2 linked regions of the Lonchura striata genome follow. The protein of the gene in region 1 interacts with the protein of each later gene in a pairwise test. Links are inferred from orthologs where the notes say so. Each region holds a gene or a part of one and is shown on either strand. Other genes may lie near its edges.

Region 1 (7,399 bases):
AAGAAATTCAGCATGGATGATCTTGTCTAGACCTGGACAAACTATTAGATGATCTAATAGGTCATTGTCATATGAAGTCCTTAGTTCACGTCCAGTTTTCAGCCACGAGGGGAGAAAGCTCTCAGGGACTCCCTGCAATGTGGCAATGTGCTCTGGATTTGGCAGTACTTATAGGGCACCTACTAAAGCCCTCAGCCTCCCCTTTATGTAATCTGTAGGTTGATACTTCCCCATATAGGGCCATATAAGACCTGCAAGTGAGAAATATGCAAGGCAGGCTAGAGGAGCTGGGGTGACAAAAAGAAATAATAAAATATAGCTGCACTCTCTTCCTGTCCTGGAGCCTCACTTAAGTCTTTGGTGCCTGCAGTAAATCCAAGCAGTCCTGCAAGCTTCTTCTGCCAGCTGCCAAGAGCATGGTGGAACCAAAACAGTGTGTGGAGGTCAGTGCAGAATTCTACCTTTCCAGTTTAGCCTCCTCTCCTACACTCACACTCAGTAGCTGGAGGAGGGGTTGAGGGCAACATTGGAAATAGGGCACTATTTCCAACCTGCAAAAAAACCTTCTGCTGATGAAATTACTGTCTTTCAGATGGTTTTCTTTGCTTTAGATCTCAGCTTCACACTCATACCATGCTGGTGCCATGAAGGTGCTTTACAAGCTGCATTCAGCTCCCAGCCATCTATGAATAAGTGATCAATGACTGCACATTGCTACTTTTAATTTATATGACTTTTGCCCTGGGCTAAAGTTGGCTCTCACAAACAGATATGAATAACTACCTTGTGACAATAACTGGTGGCTAATGCATCAGAGAAACAAAACAGAAATGAAGCTTCTAGGAATGATGAGACACATCTGGGGAAAGATAGGCAAATACACTCTTTCTGAACATTTATACTAGATAAACAGGAATGTATCTAAAGAGAAAAGTATGTTTTAATGCAATGTACAACACTAAACACAATTTCCCTGCACCCTGAGGAAGCCCTCAGTTGAAAGTTGCATTTTGAGGGGAAAAAAAAAAAAAAAGAAAAAAAGAACTTTTTCAGCCAAGCTTCCAAGAACAACCTATATTTCTTCTAATTAAGGAAGATAGTTTAGTACTCACCCGCAACCAAGAAGAAGATAAATGAAGACACTACAGATCTATAGAGTTTCCCAGTGTGCTGGCTCATGGTCACTGAAGTACATGGCCTCATCATCTCTCCTTCTGGTAGTATGGGTAAAAAATATGTGTGTATTATAGCAACAGGACCTCACATTCTGCCTAGTGAATGTCACACTTACTAAAGTTACCACAGCTTTGAGCTCACAGTGCTCTGCCTGCTCCCTGGATGAGAGCCACCACGTTGCAAGTGACAACAATTACTTCCCCGGTGGCTGTTCTGATCTCTCCCTGAGAACATGTTGAAAATGCTCTGAGAGCAGAAGGAAGATAATTCATTGTTTTTCACTTTTGGCTTTTATAAACCACAACTTTGGGCTGAGTATAGACTATCCAGAGTCTCCAAAGGAGGTCTCTCTTCTGCTGAACCCCTCCCAAGTGATGGTGAGAACACAAAGAGTATTGGCATAATTTTCTGAACAGCCAGACTTTAATGCACCACATTATCACCCTAATGCACCACAAAAGAAAACTTCAGGAACTCAGTATCTTTGTGGCTAAATGTGTATGATGTTTACAGGTTAACTGTATTCCCCAAAGTGGTTTTTTTTTCAGTGCAGAACAAATAATTTTTCTTCAAAAGTTGACTACTTAAATTCTATTTATATTTAAGTAGAGCTTGTCTGTGCAGTTTGGGTGGAGAGGAAAATTGCTGGAGAGGGCAGCCCATCTGCAAAACCAGCAGGTGTGCTCTGAATTAATCTGTGTTTATAGAAGGCCCACATAGAGCAGAACCCTCTGAGAGGAGCTACAGCAGCTCCAAGCCTCACTTGTACCACCCAGCTCTGCCAGCCGTGCTACACCTGTACCAAGCATGGGCTATTGTCACTATTTGGCTGACATCTCTTTCCTCAACTACAGGATTATAGATTATGGCACTCTTTATCTAATGATCTTGCATATCTTCAAAACTCTCCAGGTAATGGAATTATGCTTTAGTATCCAGTAAAGACTCAATTTCAGAACTCTTAGAGCACAATGCAGCTGAGAGATGCCCGAGTATTTCTGCTTTTATTTGCATTTGAAAGCAAAAGAACCCACAATTGATTTGCTAAAGTTGGCTGACCAAACAATGTCAAGAGGAACAGTCCATTCCTGGAGTCAGTAATTGTCACTGTAGCTTTGGTATGCAGACCCCAAAGCAGTGGAAGCAGCGAAAGCAGGATGGGCTAGTGGGAGAATGCAGAAAAGAACCTAGAAGGCAAATACTTCTCTGAAATGGCTTGAGAGAGTGCGAAGGCCTGTGATTACCAGGCAGGAATCATATTAGGAAGAAAAGTGGGACCAAGTGCAGTGCAACAAAGCACTTCAGAAGGAAGATAGAAGTTTGTGAGGGTCTTCTGAAGGACGTACTGCCAAAGTGTTAGTGAGCAAAGCCAAAATATCAGTGAAAGGAAAAGTTAGAGGAATCAAAAACAATGAAGAGTTTGATGAGGGAATAACCAGTAGTCAAAGGTACCTGGCAGATCAAGAGGACTTTGGCATGAGTTACTGGTTTAGAGTGCTGATTGTGACTGTGTGTCAGAAGAGTAAGCGTGCAAAGATGGATCTGAACCAAAGGCAATCCAACACTGTGTTATTTAGACCCAAGTACTTGATGTGCTTCAAAAAACCCCTTCAAGTGTGTTGTGATGGACATACCACCATTGTTTCTGCAAATGCTGTTTATGTTCATGTCATCCAGAACTAGGAATTGTCTTGTGAATCCTCCATTAAGTAGGTCATGCCTGAGCCAAAGTGCCAGGTCAGCCAGCTGTTAACTGAGGAAATACAAAGGAGGTTGGTTAGTGTTGCTGGCAGCCAGTGGTTGAACATGAAGCTTCTCCCACTTGGAAAACCCAGTATGATTCAGTTTTTGGACAAAAAGAAAAATAAACTGAGTGTTGTTGAAAAAAGCCCACAAAATTCAAGTTTCAAGTGCAAATCAAGAAAGCAAGGAACAAAAATGAAACAAACCACACATTCTTTTTCACACTCTTGTAACTTTTGGAGACTTGCAGTTGCTTGCATTAACGCTGTCCTGTCTGGACCAACAGCTGGGAGGCCGTGTCACCCACAGGGGCTTTGGGTACTTTTTCTAATGTAACAGTGAACAGGCATTACAGGACCCTGAGATGTCCAAAGGGAGCCTCCAAACATTTCCCAAGGAAGGGGTAAGAGAAAGGGGACAACAGGCTGCTTTATTGATCTGTATATCCATCCATCCATCCATCCATCCATCCATCCATCCATCCATCCATCCATCTACCAGCCAACTACCTAGCAATGTGATTTCTTTGCACCTCACAAGGCTCTTCTTCCTGTGAGGTGAGCTGACAGTGCAAATCTGCGAGCCATCGTCGCCTTGGTGCCTTGGTTGGGTGCCCCGATTTGAGGAGCCCTCCGGGTGCTCAGAGCTTGGGGCAGAAAGCACTCAGCAGCTTCAAAAACGAGACCCAGGTTTTCCTGGGATGAAACCTCCCTCACTGACACCCTTTATACCACCTCATTCTCCGCTCGGCCCGCAGCCAGCCTTCCCCCTCTCCCCCAGGAGCGGCCTCTCGGCAGTGTTTTCCGTGGAATGCCACGACCCCAGGATCCGGGAGCCGTTTCGCTGCCCTGCGCTGTTTAACCGGCTGCGCTCACGGAGGGCGGCGGGCGCGGGGCTCTCCCTCGGGCAGGAGGCAGCGAACGCCGCCTCCCCCGCAGCCGGCAGTTTTCCCCTACTTCAGCCCTCAAACTTTCCACCGGCGCGGAGGCTTCCCAGTTAACCCTTGCGGAAGCCGCAGAGGGGCTGCCGCGGCCCGACCAGGAGGGCACCGGAGGCGCCGCAGCGCTGTCCGCCCCCGTGACGGCCCCCTCTGCTCGGGAGCAGCGGCACCGCTCGCCCCCGGTACTTCCTCCCGCCGCGGGCCGGCGGCGCAGCCGGCGCCGGCCCCTTTAAATGGCGGCCGCGGCCCCGCCGAGCGCCCCGCGCAGGCAGCTGGCGGGCGCCGCGCGGCCCTCGCCCCCCTCCATGGTAAGCGCCGCGCTCCCCGCGGCCCCCCGCCCCTCCGGCGGGCTCTGCGCCCCCGGCCGCCGCCCCCCGCGCCGGCGGCGGCCGCGCAGGTAGGTGCGGGGGCGGCGGCCGCGCTCTGTTCCCGGGCAGCCGCACGGGCGGGCCCCGGACGGGCGGCGGCGGCGCGGTCCCGCCGTCCCCACCCACCTCCCCGAAAGTTTTTGGGGCGAGGCGGGGCCGGGGGCAGGGTGGCCCTCGGGGCGCCCCGATGAGGGGGGCGGCGAACGCCCCGCAGGGAGGGTCTGGGCTCCTGGGGGAGCCAGCGGGAGGCGGGCCGCGGTGGCCGGGCAGCCGCTGAGTCCCGGCGCTGCGGTGGGGAGGGCGCGGGCGAGCAGCAACTGGTGGAGGCTGCAGGGAGTGCGAAGAGCCCCCCGGGGCAGCTCTGCTCTCACGCCGCGGAGCCCGGAGTGTCTGTGCCTTTGCCTCGCCCCGCTGTCCCCTCCGCAGCCTGTCCCCAGCCCGGGCGCGGCCCCGGGGCAGCGCTGGGCGGGGGCGCGCACCCCGGGCCGGCCGGGGCCGGCCCAGCACCTGGTTCGGAGCTGAAGCCCAGCGTTGCCTCATCCCGGCGGATCCGGTGCTACAGGCGGGGTTATTGGTTAGGGCCCTGGGCTGGTTTTCTACCCTTTGCTGGCTGGGTGGCACAAGTGACGTTCCGTGGCTGTTTCCCTTCATAAAGTAAAACTGACTTCCAAAGCGAAGAATACTGATAACAGGGGGGAGTGCTACAGAATTAGAAAACAGTGCTGCTTATTATCATAATAGTAAGTGATATGAGTCAAATTGTCTCTGAAGTGTTTGTATTTATGTGCAATTTATAGTGTAACTAACATTAAGTATAAACACTTGATGTATCAGTATTATAATAATATTTGCCAGTCCTCTGGTAAAAATGCTACACGTGTATTTCTCAAGTTCTGAAAGGTCTCACGGGTTCCTGAGACCTTGCTACATGTTAGGCGCTGATGTCTTGTGTTGATGCTATTTCAGTTCTAAATGCATGTGCAGCTTCAGCGTGCAAGTTGGGAGGGGCTACATGGAAATAAAGTACTTTGATAAAAATGTAAAATATAATTAAGTATAGTGTAGTCTAGGGGGGAAAAAAAATAAAACAAAGTAAAAAGCTGTCAGTGGGAAGTGTTTCTATGCCACTCACCTTGGTGAAACTGCCATGTCGGATTTCATTTAATATACAGCTGTTAAATGGACTAACCATTTTGTTTCACCTTTTTCCATCACTGCTGGATTACATACCTTACTTCTTTGTTCACAGGAAGTTCATGAAGTGGATCATGGTCTTATTAACCAGCTACTTGCTGATTCAGAGGAGACTCTTAATTCATGCACAGAGAAAATGCAGGGTCCTGCTCAGTATAGCTGGAGTGCTGACTGGAGCTTTTGGGTAATGTGCTTTAGCTCTCTCCTAACTTGGTTTTAATTTATAAGTATACTATGTGTCTATTTTAATTTACATATATGTGTATATGTACAAGCTTTATATCCACAGCTCTCAAGTTGCTTTGTAGTCATGAATTAGTAAAGTGTTCTCCATCCATGTAGTGAGGCAGGAAATTTTATCATTACTGGCTTACTAAAGTGTAAGGTGAGACAGAGAAGGGGTGAAGTTGTTTATCTGTTGTCTCAGATCAAGTTAGTGGCAGAACTTATGGCTTCTGTGCCCAGTCCTGAATCCTTGGCATGAAGCCTTCCAGTGTTTTATATGCCTATAGAAAGACATTTTTGATGTTCTGATGCTTTTTAAGCATAAGGGCTGAATTTTGATTTTTGGAAGTGGTTGGTGTTTCTGAATTGCATTCCTAGTGTTTGTTTTTGTCAAGTAAACACATTTGTTTTCCACAAGAGTAAATAAGCTACCTGTGTTTTCTGTAAAAATTTACTTTGTGAATAAGAAAGGCAGAAAAGAAATAATTCAGTTTTTTCCCTTTCTGGGGAAATGCCTGACTGAAAGCAGAGTGTGTAATAATAAGAACTTATTTCAGTACTTTTGGTAGATTTTTTTAACTGCCTTGAGAGAAGGTGAATGTGTGTGTGTGTGTGTGTTGGAGTGTATGTTTTGCTGTTAATTTGTTGCATGCTTTGTTATTGTTTGATAGGAAAGGAGACCACATGTGCATGGAGCCACAGGCAAGGTAACAGCTGGTCTTGTGGGAGACACAGAGTGCCAGAGCCGTGAGGAAGGGAATCTGACTCAGGTTCTGTATCAGGTGTACATCCGTGTGCTTCAGCTCAAAGAACATCATCTGGTCCACTGTGTCCTTCTCCTGATGAGGTTGTCACAGTGTTCATTGTGCTTAGCACGTGAAAGATTGAGTAATTAGTAAAGGCCAGAAGGAGTCCATGGCAGAGCTGTGAGCAGAGGCATGGGATCAGATTTCCAACTCCTTGTTTATAAACCTAGCTTGTACGTTTTCATCACTCCTCTTCATGAGCAGATGTCCTGATGGTCAGGACATCTGCTTTTGCATCTCAGGCCATAGGATAAATCCCCTCCAAGTGCATGTGTACTCTTAAAAATGCAGTGGTAATCTGGAGCCGATGGAAATGGGACAGGACTAATAAAATCCCAGTAGGTCATAGACTTGTGTTGCTAGAGTGAGTTCTTGTGGTGTTCAGTATTTTCTTCACTATCCCTACAGGGACAAGGATGATCCAGGGCTGTCCTGCGTGTGCCCAGCTGTGTGTCTGTACTTGAGTCAATAGGAAGTCATGCTGTGCAGACATTGCAACTGCCAGCTATGCTCTTGCTAGGTGGCAAATTGTGTAAACTAATGCTCAATGGTTGGTGTACAACCATTACTACAGGTGGTATTTTGTGTGAGGAATAAACCTGCTTAGGTTGTTGGACCTGCAGTTAACAATTCAGTGTTTCCTTGATAGGCCTGGTGATTGAAAATAAAGTTATTATTCTATATGGAGAATGTGGCTGTGCTATTGGCTTTGCACTCTTAGGTTTGAGACACATGCTGAATGCTTGAAGTTTCTTTGGACAGAGCTTTGAGTCTGCACAGTGCAGGATACTGTGTGTCCTCACAATTCCACTCTTCCTGTAGTAATGTGTGAAGTTACTCCCTGTAACTTCAGGGGAGTGGGATCCTTCAGTGCGGTGGCAGCTGCTGTGTGAGGTGTTTTCAGAATGATTAAATGATTACCTTCTGTCTGATTTATACTCCAAGAC
Region 2 (8,324 bases), on another chromosome or scaffold:
CACTCTCCACAGAACTGACAGAATACCTCATCTCCGTTCCACACACCTACCATTCCTCATTTCTCCTTCCACACCCTGGCTTCAGACACAGGGTAGAAGGGAAAAGCACACTTCTCACAGACTAGGAAGATGGTCACCATCCTGGGGAAAAGCACTGTCAAAATGCATGTACAAAAAAGGATGAGAAAATGGGATGGTTTTACAGTGACACTGTCCATTTCATTTCAGCTTTGCTGTGGCAAAAGAAAAACCATATTTAGGGTCTGAAAGGCAGGATGAGTGAGTGAGATAGGAGACTTGGTCTATATCCTTAGGATCTTGAAGGTTTTAAACAACAAGGGAGACTACGACTTCTGTTCCTCCAAGCCAGAGAAGCTGAGATGAGCTGTCACTTCTAGGAGCACCCCTCCCTCAGGCTTTCCATGACCTCAGCTGTCAGTGCACATACCCAGGGAGAGCTGGAGATAACCCAGTGTTGAGCTCAAGAGCAGAATACAGTAGAGTTGAGGGGTAGAACATCCTCTCACAAGGCTTAAGGAACAAGGCTGATGAAGCCACTGGGGATAGTAACGGTAAATTGGGACATGAAAATTCACAGCTACCCTTTTTGCTTTTCAGAGGCTGTCAAGTGTTTTTCTTTCTAAGCTTCTGCCTTACAAGTCACAAGAAGAACAGAAGGACAGTATAATTGCTTCATAAATGACCAAATTACCTGGAAATGCCAGACAGGATAGTCTGCCACAAGAGGGAACACATGGTGATAAGAGATGTTACACAAACAAACACATGTAAATACACATTTTCCATCCATCCAGAACCAACAGTTCAATGCGTTCCTGGGCGAAGAAGCCAAATTATGCAGAAGGAACAAGTGAATTTGCCTGTGGGATAACCTGGCTAGAAGAGACACAGGTCTCTAATCAACCCCCTCAGGGCTGTCTCAAGAGTAAGGGAGTTGTTGCCTTCTTTGCATGTGTGATGCAACAGTTCAAGCCATGATAGAACTTTTATTTGCTGAGAATGATAGGCCTGCTGGAAAGTTCCTAAGGGGAAAGAGAGCCCTTCACAGCTACTCCCACTGAACATTTTTGCTTGACAAAAAACCAGCAGCTTTCTTCCACCCCCTTCATGAAGAATGCATCACACCCAAAGAGAGAAACTTTCGGACACTGCACTGCAAGTAGCAAATAAAACCCCTTTAACAGACCTGCTCTGAGTTAGGAGAAATAAAACTGGTTAAACTCTCACAAAATGTACAAGAGGGATTAACCACCTCAGACTTCAGAGTAAAATGAAGTGTCACACATGGTATATTATTTCAAGCACTCAGAAAATACGTTTTTCTTATTGATCCCTGAAGCCAGCATACAGCAGGGAGTGCCAGGACTTTTACCAGGCAACTGGGGGAGTCATTGTCCTCCTCTGCAGAAGCCACAGGACAATGAACACAAGCAACAGTTTGGAATGAAACATACTTTTTGCAGAAATACAGCATATGACCAGAAGTAAATACAGGCCAGGAACTCAAAGACATTATCAGCAAACTATAGAACAAGGATGTGATCTGAGGTGAATTACATGGAGTTCAAAAGCTGCCACCTCATCCAGCTCGCAGCTCAAGCTTCCAGCTGGCTCACAGAGCAGCTGTAGCCAGCCCACCTGTGCAAGCCAGTGCTGTGCCTTTGACAGGGACCTGTCACCAGATGCATCATATAAAGTATAAGTGATGCTACCCCAGCTTCCAATAATCCACAGACTGGGAACTGCCTGTCCTAGGCCCACAAAATGCTTCAGAGAATATAAACGCACTGAAACTTTTGCACTGACTTTTCTAGTTATGATGAGCTTAGCCACAGCTCAGCCAAGACAGGCACTCTACTCCCTTCACCACAGACAGTCCTTTGGCAGCAATGACAGTCACCCAGGAGGACTGGGACAGACCTTTGTCTTACTGGTGGGATGCTAAGAGACTCTTCAGCCTCCACAATACCAGCTGGTAAGACCGCTCGTCACACCAAAAGCTTCCCTAAGAACCATGGCATTGGACATAAATGTGTTTTCTGAGAAAGGGACGTCTTTCAAAACTGTCTGAACAAACAGCCTCTGATGGGTGATGCTATTTCAAGTCAACCCTTTTTCATGAACCCTCAGAGAAAGCCAGGAAGTGCGGATGGAGGACAAAGGAAATGAGCAGTGCAGAATTTAAGGGATGCTACACAGTAGCCAGAAATAAAGATATGTCACTGCTAAAATGCAACAGGATACTGCAACAAGTTGATTACAAAAGCCCTCAGGAAAAGTCAGACTTTAAAAATAACTACCGCAGTTCACGTTCTTCATGAGAGGACAAGAAGAAGAAGCTACTGGCAAAGATTCCTCATGGCAAGCAACACAACGGTGCAGAAATAACCCATTGCCATCAGCTCCCCATCTGATGCAGCTTCCAGAAAAAGAAGGGAACAGAACATCGCCTGGACTGCGTGGTAAACAAGCGCTCGTTCTCTCCCTCCTCCGCCTACAAGGGTCCTACAAGCCCAGCAGAAAGGCCAACTCTTAACTGTACAACAGGGAAATCTGACTGAACAAAAGGCAGAAGGGGGTAAAAATCGTTTCACCAGATTTATGGCAACATTTCAGAACGCCTTTACTAATTCCGCGGGCTGTGCAAAGTTATGACACCAGCCGCAACAGGTTAAAATACTTTCCTAAGAAAAAAAAAAAAAAAAAAAAACCAAAAAGAAACAAAAACAAAGCATACAAGGGCCAAGCCCCTGCAAAGCTGTGCAAAGCCACAGGGCGCTGGAGGGGAAGCCAAGCAGCGCTGCGGCAGAGCCGGGCCCGCTGCCGCACGGGGCCCGGGCTCTGCCGGCTCTCCCGGGCTGCCGCCCCGGCCCTTCCCCGGCCCGCTGCCGGCGCCGCCGCGCCCGCGCCTCCCCGTCCCACCGGTGCCGCCATGTCGGGCGCTCCGCCTCACCGTGGGCCGCCGCTCCGCGCCGCCGCACGCCCCGACCCGCCGCGCTGCCGGGAGGCCCGGCCGGGAGGGAGGGCGGGAGGGAGGCGCGGCCGGCCCGGCCCACCCCGGCCCGGCCGCCTCCCCCGGCTGCCTGCCCGGGCTGTCCGCAGCCCTCGGCTCCGGCGCCTCACGGTGCTGCTTCCATTACAGCGAACTCCAGATGGAGCCGCTTTTTTGGGTTTTTGGTTTTTTTAGGAGTCAGATCCGCTTGTTAAAAGTGTTCTCCATGAAACCCTGTAAAACAAGATCAAGCCCTGACTGGCACATTGCCTCATCCTCCCATTACCTCACTTGAGCCGCAGCCCTGTGCGAGGGATGCTCCCAGGAAAACACCCGCTCCTCTCCGCGGCGTCTCTTGGTTTTTCAGGAGTGGGACGAAGAGAGGAGATCTGGGCAGGGAAGGGAGAGGCCAGTTCAGAACCTCCTGCGTGCTTGCTTTAACTTCTCCATGTGCCCAACTCAGAAATCACTTCATCCTTCCCAAGGAGTAAGCTCGCTTTAGCTCAGAGCAGCTGGAGATCCAAGTGATCAAATAGAGCCTTGGGGGGTCAGCTTGCTTGCACACTGACAGATTTGTTGCAAGGAATATGTCGCAGGATCTGGAAGCCACAAGAGACACCGGCCCCTGCCCAGGTCCTGGCCCTCCTTGGTGGAGCCCTGCGTAGCCACCATGCTGGGCAAATGCCTTCTTGCCATGTCCAGGGATTTCATGCCCAAACAGGAAACCACACAACCCCCCCAACCCAGCAGATTTGGGTCAGTGAACGGGCATGACCAGGCACAAGTGCTTCTTTGTGCTTGGGAGAGCCTGCAGGCAAAGGTGAGATACAGCATAGGATGCCCATCTCCCCGTCTTCAGTTTATTGCTGGAGTAATAGTTTTTTGGGTTTTTTTACTGCAGATACTTGTTTACCTTGAGGAGACTAATTTTACCTGGTCAGGTCTTCTGTGGACTAGTGTTTTCAGAAGTAGCACACAGCCACACTTGTGTTTGCAGCATGGTACATATATGTATATAAATATGCCCTGCAGGCTGGAGAGGCTGGAGCTGGGTTATTGTAGCCACACCAACCAAAATTTCCTTGTGACTCATCAACAGCCAGTTCAGTAATGAGCACCTCCTAACAAAGCTCTGAACTGCAGGGCCCCAGGTCTATTTACACTGAACACGAGATTGCCAAACAGAGCATTTGAAGGTGTATAATGGGCTGTGAGATACATTTTTCATTGGAGATTAAGTACTTGGTCAATATATGTTACATACAGATAAAGATATTACAAAAGAAAGGCCTTATGAAATCAAGCCTTGCTCTGCTGAATTACCAGCTGGACTGTTACTTCTTCTAAGTGCAGCTAAATTCTCAGTTGAAGGAGAATGAGAATCCATTTGCATAACAACCTATCCTTAGAAAACTAAGTTGCACCTGTAATAAACAAGAAATCTGTCCCACAGGAGTCAGGGAACAAAATATGTAAACTAACAAAATATAGAGATTTGACAGACATACGCCCTAGCCATTTACCGACCAATAAACTGTGTCAGTGTATTGTTAGCCAATTAGGTCTAACAGTGCCTTCTGAGATCGCCTATAAATATGAGCTTTGTGAATAAAGAACTGACTTTTCTGCATGAAGAAACCGAGTCCCGTCTACTTATTAATGCAATAAATATATATATTTATAGTCTAAGCAATCAACAAGTAAAAAGATCATGAAAAGACACAGAAGAAGGTGACAGGACAAAGTAATATGTGAGTGAATGCATGAGTTACCCATAGCAGTAACTCATTAATTGTATGTAAATGGAAAAGGTCCCTTGGACCTGGAATAAAGAAGGTACTAGAAAACAACATCTCAAATGTTTGAAATTTCTGCATTTATACTGTGGAAAAGCTTCAAACTTAACACCGTGGCTTAATGCTCTCTTTTCAGCCCTGTTTTGGCTTTTCAAAGAGATGCTGTCAGCCTAATCCTCTTATGCTTACCCTTAGTATATTGACACGAAACAGATAAGTGAAAGCAAAGCAGAGTGAGGTCCCTTTGCTGGCCTGCAGGGATTTGTGGGGCCATGGCTACTTATCAGAGCAGCTGGCTTTTATGCTTTTGCCTCTACGCCTGATTGTGTACACAGGTGCACTGTTGCATGTTCCAGGATAAGGCTTCCCAGGCTGCAAGAAGAGTCTTTCTTGTGATATGATTCCAAAATACTTTACAGATTATGTGCAAAAAGTCACTTGTTCACTAAGAGGCTGGAGCCAATATGGTGAATGTATAAGCCCCCAGGCAGTCTTATTTTGCATCCCCCCTCATCTCATGCCCCTCAGGGTATCTCATTATTTGCATTTATGCTAGAGTTTCCAGCAGTCACTTACAAAAGGTGGCTGCTCCCAGAGCTTCCATTTAGAGGCAGGAGAGATTCTGACAAAAAAAGGGAATGTATTAAAATGAAGAACTTTTTGGAAATTCTGGTCTCCTTTAGGTCTGATATCAGACAGGTTTGAAAACTAGCAACATATCCCTTTAGATTGTAAGTGGCTGAGTCTTCCAACAGGACAATGTAATCTTTGTGCTGAGAGACAACAAAAGATCTTCCAGTAATAAACCCCACCCTGCTGCTTACCGTTGTCCAAGCTCAGTATGCTCAAATTCTGTGCCATTTTGTCATCCTTGAAACAAAAATCCACCCTTTCCTGCTTACAAAAAGTATATGTTACAATTAACTACTTCTGTTATCAGTTTATAGCAGGGGAAATGAGTAACAATTTGTTTGGTCAAAACTGCAGAGTGATTAGTTCTGTAATGCATGAACATCCAGCTGGAGCCATGCCAGGGCACATTAGAAGCAACCAAATTCCTAACTCTAGTGAAAAGGATGCATGGGACATTAATAAAATAAAGTTTTAATTCCATTAATAGAGGTGACAAGGTGAGAGTGGTTTCAGTCTCTCTCTGAAACCACTATACCCCCCAGACATTCAGGAAGTGTCTCCCCTTTTTCTCCTCTGTGCTCTGCCCTCCGTAATTAGCTGGATGGACTCTGGCTGCTTAAAGGAGGTAAAAAAAGATAAGATTAATTTCTCCTGAGCTGCCCCCAAGACATGGGCTCCTGGTTAACTCTTTCCTTGCTTGTAAGACTCCCTGTGTACCACCATGCAGGACAGGCCACTGCTAGAGCAGTGAGTAGGGAGGGTCACACTAGGATCAGTGATTGAACATGGGAGGCTGAATCTCCTGCAGCACCTGAAAAAAAATCTCTCAACACAACCACTTGTAAGACAGCATTTCTTTATTGCCTGTACTGTTTGCACACTAAGAAAACATACTTAAGGTTGTACATTGAAAGAACCTGCTGGTTCTTGCCATTGCAGTATGACAGCACTGATAAAGGTACTGGCCCATATTTGTGTGTCAGGTGTGTTTCACACCTTTGTCTTAGGTGTGCTGTGTACAAAGCGTGGGAGGCACACATTCAGAACATCTTAGCATGGATTCCCCTTCCCAAAAATCACTCCTTGCAAACACAAGTAGTTCCCCTGGAAACACTGTAGGTCTTACTCCAGGCTCCACACCAGCTACCCTGGTTCCTTCAGGGCCTCTTGTAGCTTTCCAATTCCCAGTCTCTGGAAGGCATTAGTGCAGTTAAACAGTGTTAAGCCACAGCCAGCCAACAGTAAGGACTGAACAGGATCTTACTGCTTTTAGCTCTTCCTTTTACTCAGAAATCCTGCTCATCCAGAGAAAAACTTCCTCTTTCCTATCAGAAGTAAAGGGCACCAGAAGGAACCATGGAAATTCTTTGTAATACTGATGTCTGTAGGGGTGACTCAGAGTACTTTTCCTGTCTGGGATATTCCCAGCAAAAAACGTGCAATAAATAGGCATTCAGAACACCCACCTCATCCCAAGAGAGGAAAGACCATGGACAAGTACTGGCCCTTCCCTATACTGCAAGATCTGCGGACTGCATCACAGCTGCAGTATCTTGTGCCTAAAATGTCAGAGTCACATACAGAAACAGCCTCGAAGACAAAAGGGGAAAGGGCACTAGCAAAAATCTCACTTAATCCCAAGGCTTTGAGAGCTGAGCTGCAAACCAGAAAGCATGGCACCCCAGATGCTCTATGCCCAGGCATTGTGGCAACTTTGCCAATAGGAGCACTTCTGGGGACAGTTTCTACCTCTGCCCTGCTTCTCCTTGCCCTGCTTTGCCTGGACCCTTAGTGACAAGAAGGTCCCTTCCCAAGGGGAACAGATTGAGTCCAGCTCATTCTCAGGCCCTTCACCAGTAAAGCGAGGCTGGTGCTCCAAGTCCCGGCAAGAGAAAAAGGTACATTTCACAGGCAGCTGCTTCATGCTTCCAGCCCAGGTGCTTTTGAAAGCACTCTAGTGGGATCTTTCAGGACAGAGGGTAAGGCAGTTCCAAGTTGCTGGAGATTCTTCAGGAAAGGATAAGAGAATGGGAGGAAACAGGCAGCATTCAGCCTTAAAACAGGCTATATATGGCTCCCCTGGTTTGTACAGCACAAAGGGCCCATCCTGCAAAGGACTATGAATCAGCAGCACATGCCAGAGCCTGTGGGTCCCAGGGCAGCTGCTCTGTGTTCTGTAAACATTCACTTTAAGGACAGTGAACAGGTCCATAAGGGTGACAAAGCAATGAAAGCCATTGGGATTCATCCTATCAGTTCCTATTATGATCACATATAGAATCTGTTAACTACAATATTGGCAAGTCCAACCAAATCCTGCAGTAAATCCAGGGCCCAATCCAGATCTTGCAGGAAGTGGTGGAAGTGTTCCCATCACAGCAGGCTCTCAGCTGAGTACTGCTTCTGCAGAACCAAGAGGAGATGCTTCTCTCTGAGACAGGTGGATCACTACTTAGAGCTAGCCCAAATTTAAAATATTTTCTTTCCTTCTTATACAGAAATTCTATTTAATACAGACCCACTGTGTCCTCTGGTCTCTGCTGCTAGGCCACTTCTTTTCCAGAAAGAACAGGAACAAGACTTCATTCCTTTACAGGGAACAAACCTCTCCAAGACAGAAGGCCCAGTCTGTGCTACTAGCTAAGACTAGCCAAATTCTCCCAAAGAAGCAGAGGCCTCTAGAGACCAGCACTGCATGCAGACTTGGAAGTAGAACAGTGCAGATAATATGCATATTTTGGCCTGATTTATGCCTCAAAATTCACAGACTGGGAAAAGCTGCACCTTCCCCAAGTCTCTAGAGAGCTGATACCACCAAATTCAGCTTGCCTGAAAGGAACCCCCAGCTTCTTGATACAGCATTGGCACATGTCTCATGCTGA

Evidence for each region.
Region 2: the proteins of GRAMD1C (region 1) and CD151 interact in binary tests that used the Homo sapiens proteins (3 or more experiments, as listed by UniProt). The link is inferred for Lonchura striata from reciprocal best matches to the Homo sapiens genes GRAMD1C and CD151.

Annotation. Positions count from the first base shown.
Region 1 is NC_134604.1:24,251,931-24,259,329, forward strand, and holds the start of GRAMD1C (protein Aster-C), read left to right. Parts: upstream 1-4,092; coding exon 4,093-4,167; intron 4,168-4,872; exon of another isoform or gene 4,873-4,967; intron 4,968-5,476; coding exon 5,477-5,605; intron 5,606-7,399. UniProt on the Homo sapiens protein: Cholesterol transporter that mediates non-vesicular transport of cholesterol from the plasma membrane (PM) to the endoplasmic reticulum (ER).
Region 2 is NC_134608.1:44,894,900-44,903,223, reverse strand, and holds the start of CD151 (CD151 antigen), read right to left. Parts: upstream 3,046-8,324; 5' UTR 2,975-3,045; intron 1-2,974. UniProt on the Homo sapiens protein: Structural component of specialized membrane microdomains known as tetraspanin-enriched microdomains (TERMs), which act as platforms for receptor clustering and signaling.